Notamacropus eugenii: one gene and its partner. The protein of the gene in region 2 binds, or shares a complex with, the protein of the main gene of each other region. Links are inferred from orthologs where the notes say so. Each region holds a gene or a part of one and is shown on either strand. Other genes may lie near its edges.

Region 1 (3,820 bases), on a different chromosome or scaffold from region 2:
AGTCTGCGCTGGCATTCCCTAACCAATTTTTCAGGGATATCAAGTGAATGTGGCCTAGCAGAGCTGGCAGAGGAGCCAGGAAAAACCTAGGTTCAACTTCTAAGCCAAAATAAACCACTTAACCTTTTAGTGCCCCAAGACAACTCTTCTATGACTTTTAAGTTATTGAGAAGGTATAGATCTACATTGGTAGAGAAAGTAAAGGAAGCTCCCTATACTAAATAAATAAAAAATAAAAATCACACGTCAAGTTTCACCCTGCCCTGCCCTCCCCAAAGGGAACTGGTCATTCTAATTAAACATATTGAGAAATTAGCCACAACATGGATACAAACAATCTGAAAAGGAATAAGAATTTTAACTTTATTTCATCAGTCTGGGTAATCAGTTCCTAAACGGGAAAGGCAAAAAGTGCTCTTTAATTAATGAGAAGCAGCCTTGGGAAAGCCAGAAGATCTAGGTCCTTTCTCTGAGACATAGTGGCTATGCAAGCCCCCAAGTCACAGAGGGACCCAGGCAGGTGCTGACCTTGGTAACAGACTCCCAGGCAAGCACCTTCTCTGCAACTTGACAGAGAGATGAATTAGTTATAAACCTCCGGGCCAGGATCACACAGGTCCAGCCCTCTATCCAGTGGCCACGGATTCCCTTCCCCCGGACATTCCTTGACTTGGGACAGGAGACAGACAAACCCCCCAAATTTGTTACTAGTTTTTGCAAATCATTTCAGACCCTCCCTAGGACCTACCACTGAGGGTCAGCCGGTGTTTAATCAGAAGGCCCAAGGAGGAGACATTTCAGGGTCCAAAAGGAGGTTTACTGTTTTTTTCTTGGCAAAGATTTCAACTAGCTCAGGGTTGCTTGACGAGAAAGTAAAGGGAGGGGTAGAGGGAGTCAGGAGGGAAAGGTGGGGGATGATCGGAAGGGGGGCGGGATGATCAAAAAGGGGAAGGGGGATGGGAGGAGGAAGGCCATGCCGGGGGATGATCAGCAGGGGGCCGGGGCGGACGGCGGCCATGCAGCGGCCACCACGTGTTGCGGGCGGCGGACAAACGTCGCCTCGCCCCCGGCCCTAACTTGGCCGCCGCCCCCCGGAGCCGGCAGGGTGCAGCGCCCCCCCGGCCGTGCTCTCCCGCGGGGGTGGTGGGCGCCAGAAGTGTTCGGCTTCGCCCCCACCCGCAGCCACGCGCGGCGCCCCGCTCCCCGCCGGCCCTCCCTCCCAGCCCGGGGTCCTCTCCAGGGGCTGCGGCCCACACTGCTCACGTTCCTCGCCGCCGCCCCGGGCCGCGGTCCTCAAGCTGGGGGTCGGCCTCGGCCGAGACCCAGGCCCCGGACGCTCCCACGTTCGCGCGCAGACCAGGCCCCGGCAGGGCGGGCAAGCCCCGCCGGATCCCCCACGCCCCTCCCGCCTCGGGCCGGCCGGCCGTTGGAAGCCCCGCGCGCTCCCTCCTCTCCCGGCCCGCTCCCGTTACCCGCGGCTGCTGCAGGAACCAGGCGGCCGGAGCTGCGCAGGCTGTGACTCAGGGCGGCGGCGGCGGGAGGAGACGAAGGAGGCGGAGGAGGAGGAGAAGGAGGCGGCGCCCCGAGCAGATGGCGCTAAAAAGACCCGAGAGCCCGCCGCTCGCGCTCATATACAATCAGCGTCAGCACGTAAGTGCCCGTCACCCCTCCCCCTCCCCTTCGGCGGTCACCCGGGGAACGCGGAGGGGGCGGGCCTGGAGCCGGGCGCCTAGCAACGGGGCCAGCTTCCGGCACGCGTGCGGGCTCTCCCCCCCCTCCCCTTGCCGACTTCCACAAACCCTCGTGGCTCTCGGGGTGGGGAGGGTCAAACGCCCCCGACGTCTTCGGCGCGCGTGCGCGTGCTCGCCAGAACGCGGGAAAGAACCCCGGGCTCGGGCTCTCCCGCCCCTAGCCTCGTTCCGGCCTTGCCCTGCCCCTGCGTGGTCCGACGCGTCTTCCATTCCTGCCTCCCCCCCCCGCCCCCCCCGGGGGCATTTGCCCGGGCGTGACGCCTCGTCCCTTCCCTTCTAGGGGATGCAGACTCTTCCCCTTCTCTCGCGGCTGTCTACACTCTCCGGGCTTCCCGAGGATGCGATCCATCCATTAATATTGATTATGCATAAGCGCTCCCTCGGTGCCTAGCGTGGGAAGAAGACCGAGAGAAAAGGGGGGAAGTAACGGGGGGTGGGAGGAGGCAGAAAGAAGCGCCCTACCTGGCCCCCCGGAGCTCGCGTGCCCACCTTCCCGGAGCCGTCGCACGAGAGCTTGGCGTCCCGGGGCAGCCTGGCACCCGGCAGGGGCACTCGCTCAGACCAGTCCGGCCTGTGGCGCTGGACTGACTCATTTATAACTCCCGGAATGCCCCTGCCTCCCCTCCCCCACGGCGAACTTGGTGCTGTCATTAAACTCGGACTGAGGGGAGTCATCTACCCTAATCAGCCAATGTAGCAAATCACCTCCACGGTCTTCACTGATGCAGCCCTCCAGCCCTGCCGTTCTCACTAAAGTGAACTGCCCCCCCCCCCCCTGCTGGGCAGATACTGCCCTCCTGCTGGGCAGATTCCCCCCCCCCCCGCTGCTGGGCAGATACCCTCCCCCCCAGGCTTTTCTATTTTTCCCCCTTTATTCCGCAGGTTGGAAGCTTTCGGTCATCCTTAACCATCCTCCTTCATTCCTTCCTCTATCACTCTCCCTAACCTGGCTTATTTTTAAAGCATTCTTGAAAGGCTAAAATTAGCCGTGTCAGTAATTCTACTTTATTAGGAGTCAATAGGGTATTGAGTACACGGTGAAGACAATCCACCCTTCTAGTGCTGTTTTAATGGTATATTGGCATCCTTTATTATGTGTTTTCACATAATGAAGTGAATGAATATAGCCCAGATTTCGTAATCTGACGCTGGTACCAGCTAGTCACTTTCAGAGCAGTCTTTACACCTACTGATGTCATCAAATCAATTTAAAAAAAAATTCAGCGGAGCAAGGAGAAGTGCAGAAATTCCAGGCTCCTTGAGGCTACTTCTGGAGAAAGAAGGGGAAGTAGAGAACCACAGATCCTGTAGTGTGCACCTCTAGGAAAAGCAGACCATCTGATAGTTTGTGTTTTAACTAATTGTTCTAGCTAACAAAGTGTCAACCTCAGTTTTTTCTGTGCTGGTGGCAGACTGCAGTGTAATCAGCACCTTCTAAATGTCATTGCCCTGAAGCAAAGGTCCGATTGCCCTGCCCTAGTTATAGCTCTGATCATTTCACCAGTCTGAGCCTCCCTTTCCTCCCTTGTACATAAAACCTCAATGGGTTGTGAGGAAGGTGCTTAGTGAATCTTAAATCTCTAAATAATGTAAACCAGCAGTTAGTTGTCAAAAGTGTGGATTGGGATTCCTTTCAGGGGGTCCATGAGGGCAAAACTTTTCATATAATATTAAAACATTTTAATTTCTAACCCAGCAGAAATTAAGAGATATACATTGTACACAGTAACAACCCCAGTGTGTAAGGAATTTGTCTGATAGACTTAGCCCTTCATAGCAATGCAAGGACTTAAAACATTCCCAAAGGACTCTTGAGGCAAAATGCCATCCATATCCAGAGAAAGGACTATGGAATTGGAAAGCATAATGAAGCAGAATATTTTCTCTTGTGTTTAAAAAAAGAAATTAATAGGTATAACCTGCATCAATAAAAGCTCTTTTGGGGCTCCTTAGTAGTTTTTAAGTGTAGTATAAAGGGGTTCTGAGACCAAAAAGTTTGAGAACCCCTAATATAAATTATATATATAGATATAGATATAGATATAGATATGTGCATCTGATTTAATCCC
Region 2 (3,600 bases):
AAACACATTACTTGAAATATTGCATATATACTACTTATATCTGCATAAAACATATTTGGTACAATCATGAAGATCAGAATAGACAGAAATACAAATATTTATTCAGTATGTAATATATGCCAGGCACAAGTAACAAAGAATTTTTAGTTGCTGTTTGGATATATTTATTTTTAATAAGTTAAAGTTGATTAAATATAAAAATTAATCTTTAATGGGCCCCCTGTTTGTCATGTTCAAAAATCTAAAATTCATCAAAACTATTTCCATGAGTCCATCATGCTACAATTCACAACATTCTAAGCATTCTTTTGATATGCCTTGATTGGAAGGATAGGAACACAAAAACGAGAATATGATAGCAAATTAAAAAAGCGCTGTTTTAACACGGTTAATCAGTTAGCCTAACCACATTTTAACTAATTCAGAATTATATTCAGAATTTGTCCATGCAGGAACCATATGGTAATTTTTTTATGATGACTTCAAAACTAGTAGATAATTCAAAGTATAAGTCACTGGACTGGAGTGGAGGGAAACAGAAAAGGCAGATAAAACCAAAATTGTAAACAAAGGTAACTCCTGAAGCCAAGACAGAAACAACTTTTAAACATGGCAATAGCCAGGAACTGAAAAGGCCAAGGAGAGAGTTTGAGCCTGGAAATCAGGAACTAGCTCCTCTATTGTCTCAAGATTAAGAAGCCTAGCTGCAAGGAGTCAAAATTTAAGTTATAACATACAAAAAGGGAAGGTAGGGGAAAAAAATACATTTTTCAAAAGCCCATAAAAAGGCACCAGAATCCCCACGCACTTGAGACATATGCAATGAACAATAAACATCCACTTCCTGAGGACATAAATAATAACGATGAGTGCTTATTAACATAACATCCTACTGCAAAAAGCAGCATTTTCCAACCAAATTATCAAATGAATTTTAAGAATGAAACTGCTACTACTCAAGTTTCATTTGGGGGTGGTGGGGAATAGAGAGAGGTTAAATGTGTATGTGAGCATTTATGTAGAAGACCCAGCTGGAATCTGCAATCACTTCTGCCACTAGAAAATGGATTACAGTCTCTTCCTGTGATGGGGCCTCTCTCCCTGAGTGACATCTTCATCCAAAGACCCCCCCTTCATAATGAGCCAAGACGTTCCATTTCTCAGTCTCCTTTGTCTCCCCATGTGAGGCATCCAATCTAGCAAAGGACTAACTTCTCATGTGCCCACTCCCTAAAAACCAGATCTTCCAATAGCAATGACCCAGATGGCTGAAACATTTCAGGCCTTATCCAAGCAAAGAAAATCGTGGGGGTGTGGGGGGAGGGAAAGAGGCAGGGAAGGGTAGAGGACACAGACGGTAAACAAGGGTGTGCTTGTGTGTCACCGATATCAATCCACGTTTTGGGAAACAGCCACAAACTAACAAAATATGTTTGGTCCTAGTTTACAGGCTGCCAAACCCTTTGTTTCCAAAGCATTTATCAATCCATTTCCCCCAGCTCCAATGCAGACAGCCATATGGAAGAGTGATGTTCCGTTACAACCTGGGAGCAAGAAAATCCCTTTAAGTCCCACTCCAAATTAGTGGATTTGCAGCAGTCAGTAGGTTGGTTCCTAAAGCGTTTTTTCCAAGAAGTCCAAATATGCTTAAGATTGACTTTTTTGAGTAATCACTTATTTTCACCGCCTATCTGAACATGCACAAGCAACTTTTCCCCCCTAGATAGCTCCCATTTCAGCCTTTTCAAAGGCACTTCCAAATGCTGAAATGTCATCATTCCCTCAGTTCCTATAAAGAGCACCACCACCCCCTCTTCGGCTCTCAACGTTTCTCCCCCAAGCCTTGGTTATCATGAATACTGTACTACACATACCATTACTCAGGACTGCAAAGCATCTGACTTGCCTTCACAAAGTTCCCCATTAGCAACTATGTAAAGGTACTCGGGATAAAATAAGAGCAAAGCAAATTCCTTCGCAATAAAGAAAAATACACACATATTTCACATATAATATACGTATTTTCCCCACGGAACTTCCCAGCCAAGCCTCCCTGACGCCTACACTGACAAGGCAGGGCCTCTCCTTTCTGGATGGCTTCTGGGCCGCGCACAATGCAGCCCGTGTCGCTCCCCGGGGGGTCGGCGTTCAGCACTCCGGGAACAGGCTCCATGTCTCCCTCCACCCCCGCCCCTAGCTTGCAAAGTGCCGACGGGCGCCTCAGTCCCTGGGCCCGAGCAGGCGCGAGGAGGCCCGGAGAACCACCTCCCAGAGAGTCCGGGAGTCCGAGGGCCCTGCCCCGCGCTCCGCACCCGGGGCTCGCCCTCAGCCCTGCTGCAATGACTTAGCACCGGGTCGAGCCGCGGGGCCCAGTGCACCTGCCCCGGCCGGTCCCCACCCTGGGGCCCCCTTCCCGCCTCCGCCCCCGGGCTCCCTCGCAGGCTCGGCCACCACGCGGGCCCCGGGGCCCCGGCTCCCCGCTACCTCCGTCCTCCCGCCCTCTCCCCCCGCCGCCCGCTGGGGGCCCTCACTCACCTTGGTCTCCTTCACGTGCTGCTTGACGCCCTCCGGGTACCACTGGACGCGCACGTAGCCGCGGCGCAGGGGGCTGGCGCGGCTCTCCTCGTTGCCCGGGCCGCCGGACTCGGAGCCCCCGGAGCTGCCGCGGCCCTCCTCGCCCTCCGAGTCCGAGTCCTCGCCGTGGATGAGGCGCACCAGCCCGAAGCGCACCGAGCCGCGGTAACGGCCCGACACCAGGTCGTGAGAGAAGAGAAGGCGCTGCGAGCCGGCGGCCACCGGCCCGGGGCCGCACACCGGCGGCCCACCCGCCGGGGCCGGAGCGACGGGCGCGGGGGCTGCGGGATCCGCCATGACTGCTCAGCAAGAGTCTCAGGCGGCGCAGGCAGCCCGGACTAAGGGAAACTGGGGGGGAGGGGGTGCGGAGCAGGGGGGGGAGTACCGCGGGGGAGGGGGCGGAGCTAGAGGGCGGGAGTAAGGCTACGGGGCGGGGCTGAGGCGTGATGACGTAAGACGCGCCGCCCGCCGTTGTCAGGGAACGGAGGATGCGGTTGCTAGGAGCCGAGGCCGGCTCTCGCTAGGGGTAGCCGAGAGGATGGACGCGGAAGAAGGGAAAGAATCCACGAGGGAAGAGGCGGGGCTCAGACTCGGGAAAGGAAGAAATGGACTTGGGGGCCGGATAGAAGAAGGGGTGGGGCAAAGGTGAGGTCCGGAAGGAGAGCAGGTGTTCCCGAGAGCGCAGTTTACGTGGGCGAGGCGCTTGGCGAACCTTTGTGCGCTCTGGGAATGCCCGCGGTCTTACTGGTGTGCTGGTGGGAGTCGGGAAGGTCCCAGTACGGAGCCGGCCTCAGGTGCTGCCCGCCTGGGTGGGCCTGGGACAGGTCGGGTAACCGCCTCGGCCTCAGCCTGCTCATGTGTAACATGGGAGTGACTGTCCCAGCGCTTACCTGGCGGGGCTTGTTGTGAGGTTCAAATGAGGAGGTATATATGTGTGTGTATGTATGTGTGTATGTGTGTATATGTATGTGTGTGTATATATGTGTGTATGTGTGTATATATGTGTGTGTATGTATGTGTGTATGT

What was found. Proteins that work in one complex are often made in the same cells at the same time.
Region 1: the proteins of UBE2O (region 2) and NAP1L1 are in contact, whole or in part, in a cryo-EM structure (PDB 7UN6), measured with the Homo sapiens proteins. The link is inferred for Notamacropus eugenii from reciprocal best matches to the Homo sapiens genes UBE2O and NAP1L1. Residues at the interface, in NP_071349.3 of Homo sapiens: Ser225, Asn226, Val282, Lys283, Pro284, Val285, Lys289, Ser290, Lys291, Phe292, Arg293; in NP_001317160.1 of Homo sapiens: Arg333, Arg337, Thr343, Gly344, Glu345, Ala346, Ile347, Asp349.

The regions. Positions count from the first base shown.
Region 1 is NC_092874.1:255,298,237-255,302,056, forward strand, and holds the start of NAP1L1 (nucleosome assembly protein 1-like 1), read right to left. Parts: upstream 2,348-3,820; 5' UTR 2,214-2,347; intron 1,651-2,213; coding exon of another isoform or gene 995-1,650; intron 861-994; exon of another isoform or gene 749-860; intron 1-748. Other genes in the region: uncharacterized protein, read left to right, coding at 995-1,650. UniProt on the Homo sapiens protein: Histone chaperone that plays a role in the nuclear import of H2A-H2B and nucleosome assembly.
Region 2 is NC_092873.1:342,947,324-342,950,923, forward strand, and holds the start of UBE2O ((E3-independent) E2 ubiquitin-conjugating enzyme), read right to left. Parts: upstream 2,893-3,600; 5' UTR 2,872-2,892; coding exon 2,536-2,871; intron 1-2,535. UniProt on the Homo sapiens protein: E2/E3 hybrid ubiquitin-protein ligase that displays both E2 and E3 ligase activities and mediates monoubiquitination of target proteins. Negatively regulates TRAF6-mediated NF-kappa-B activation independently of its E2 activity.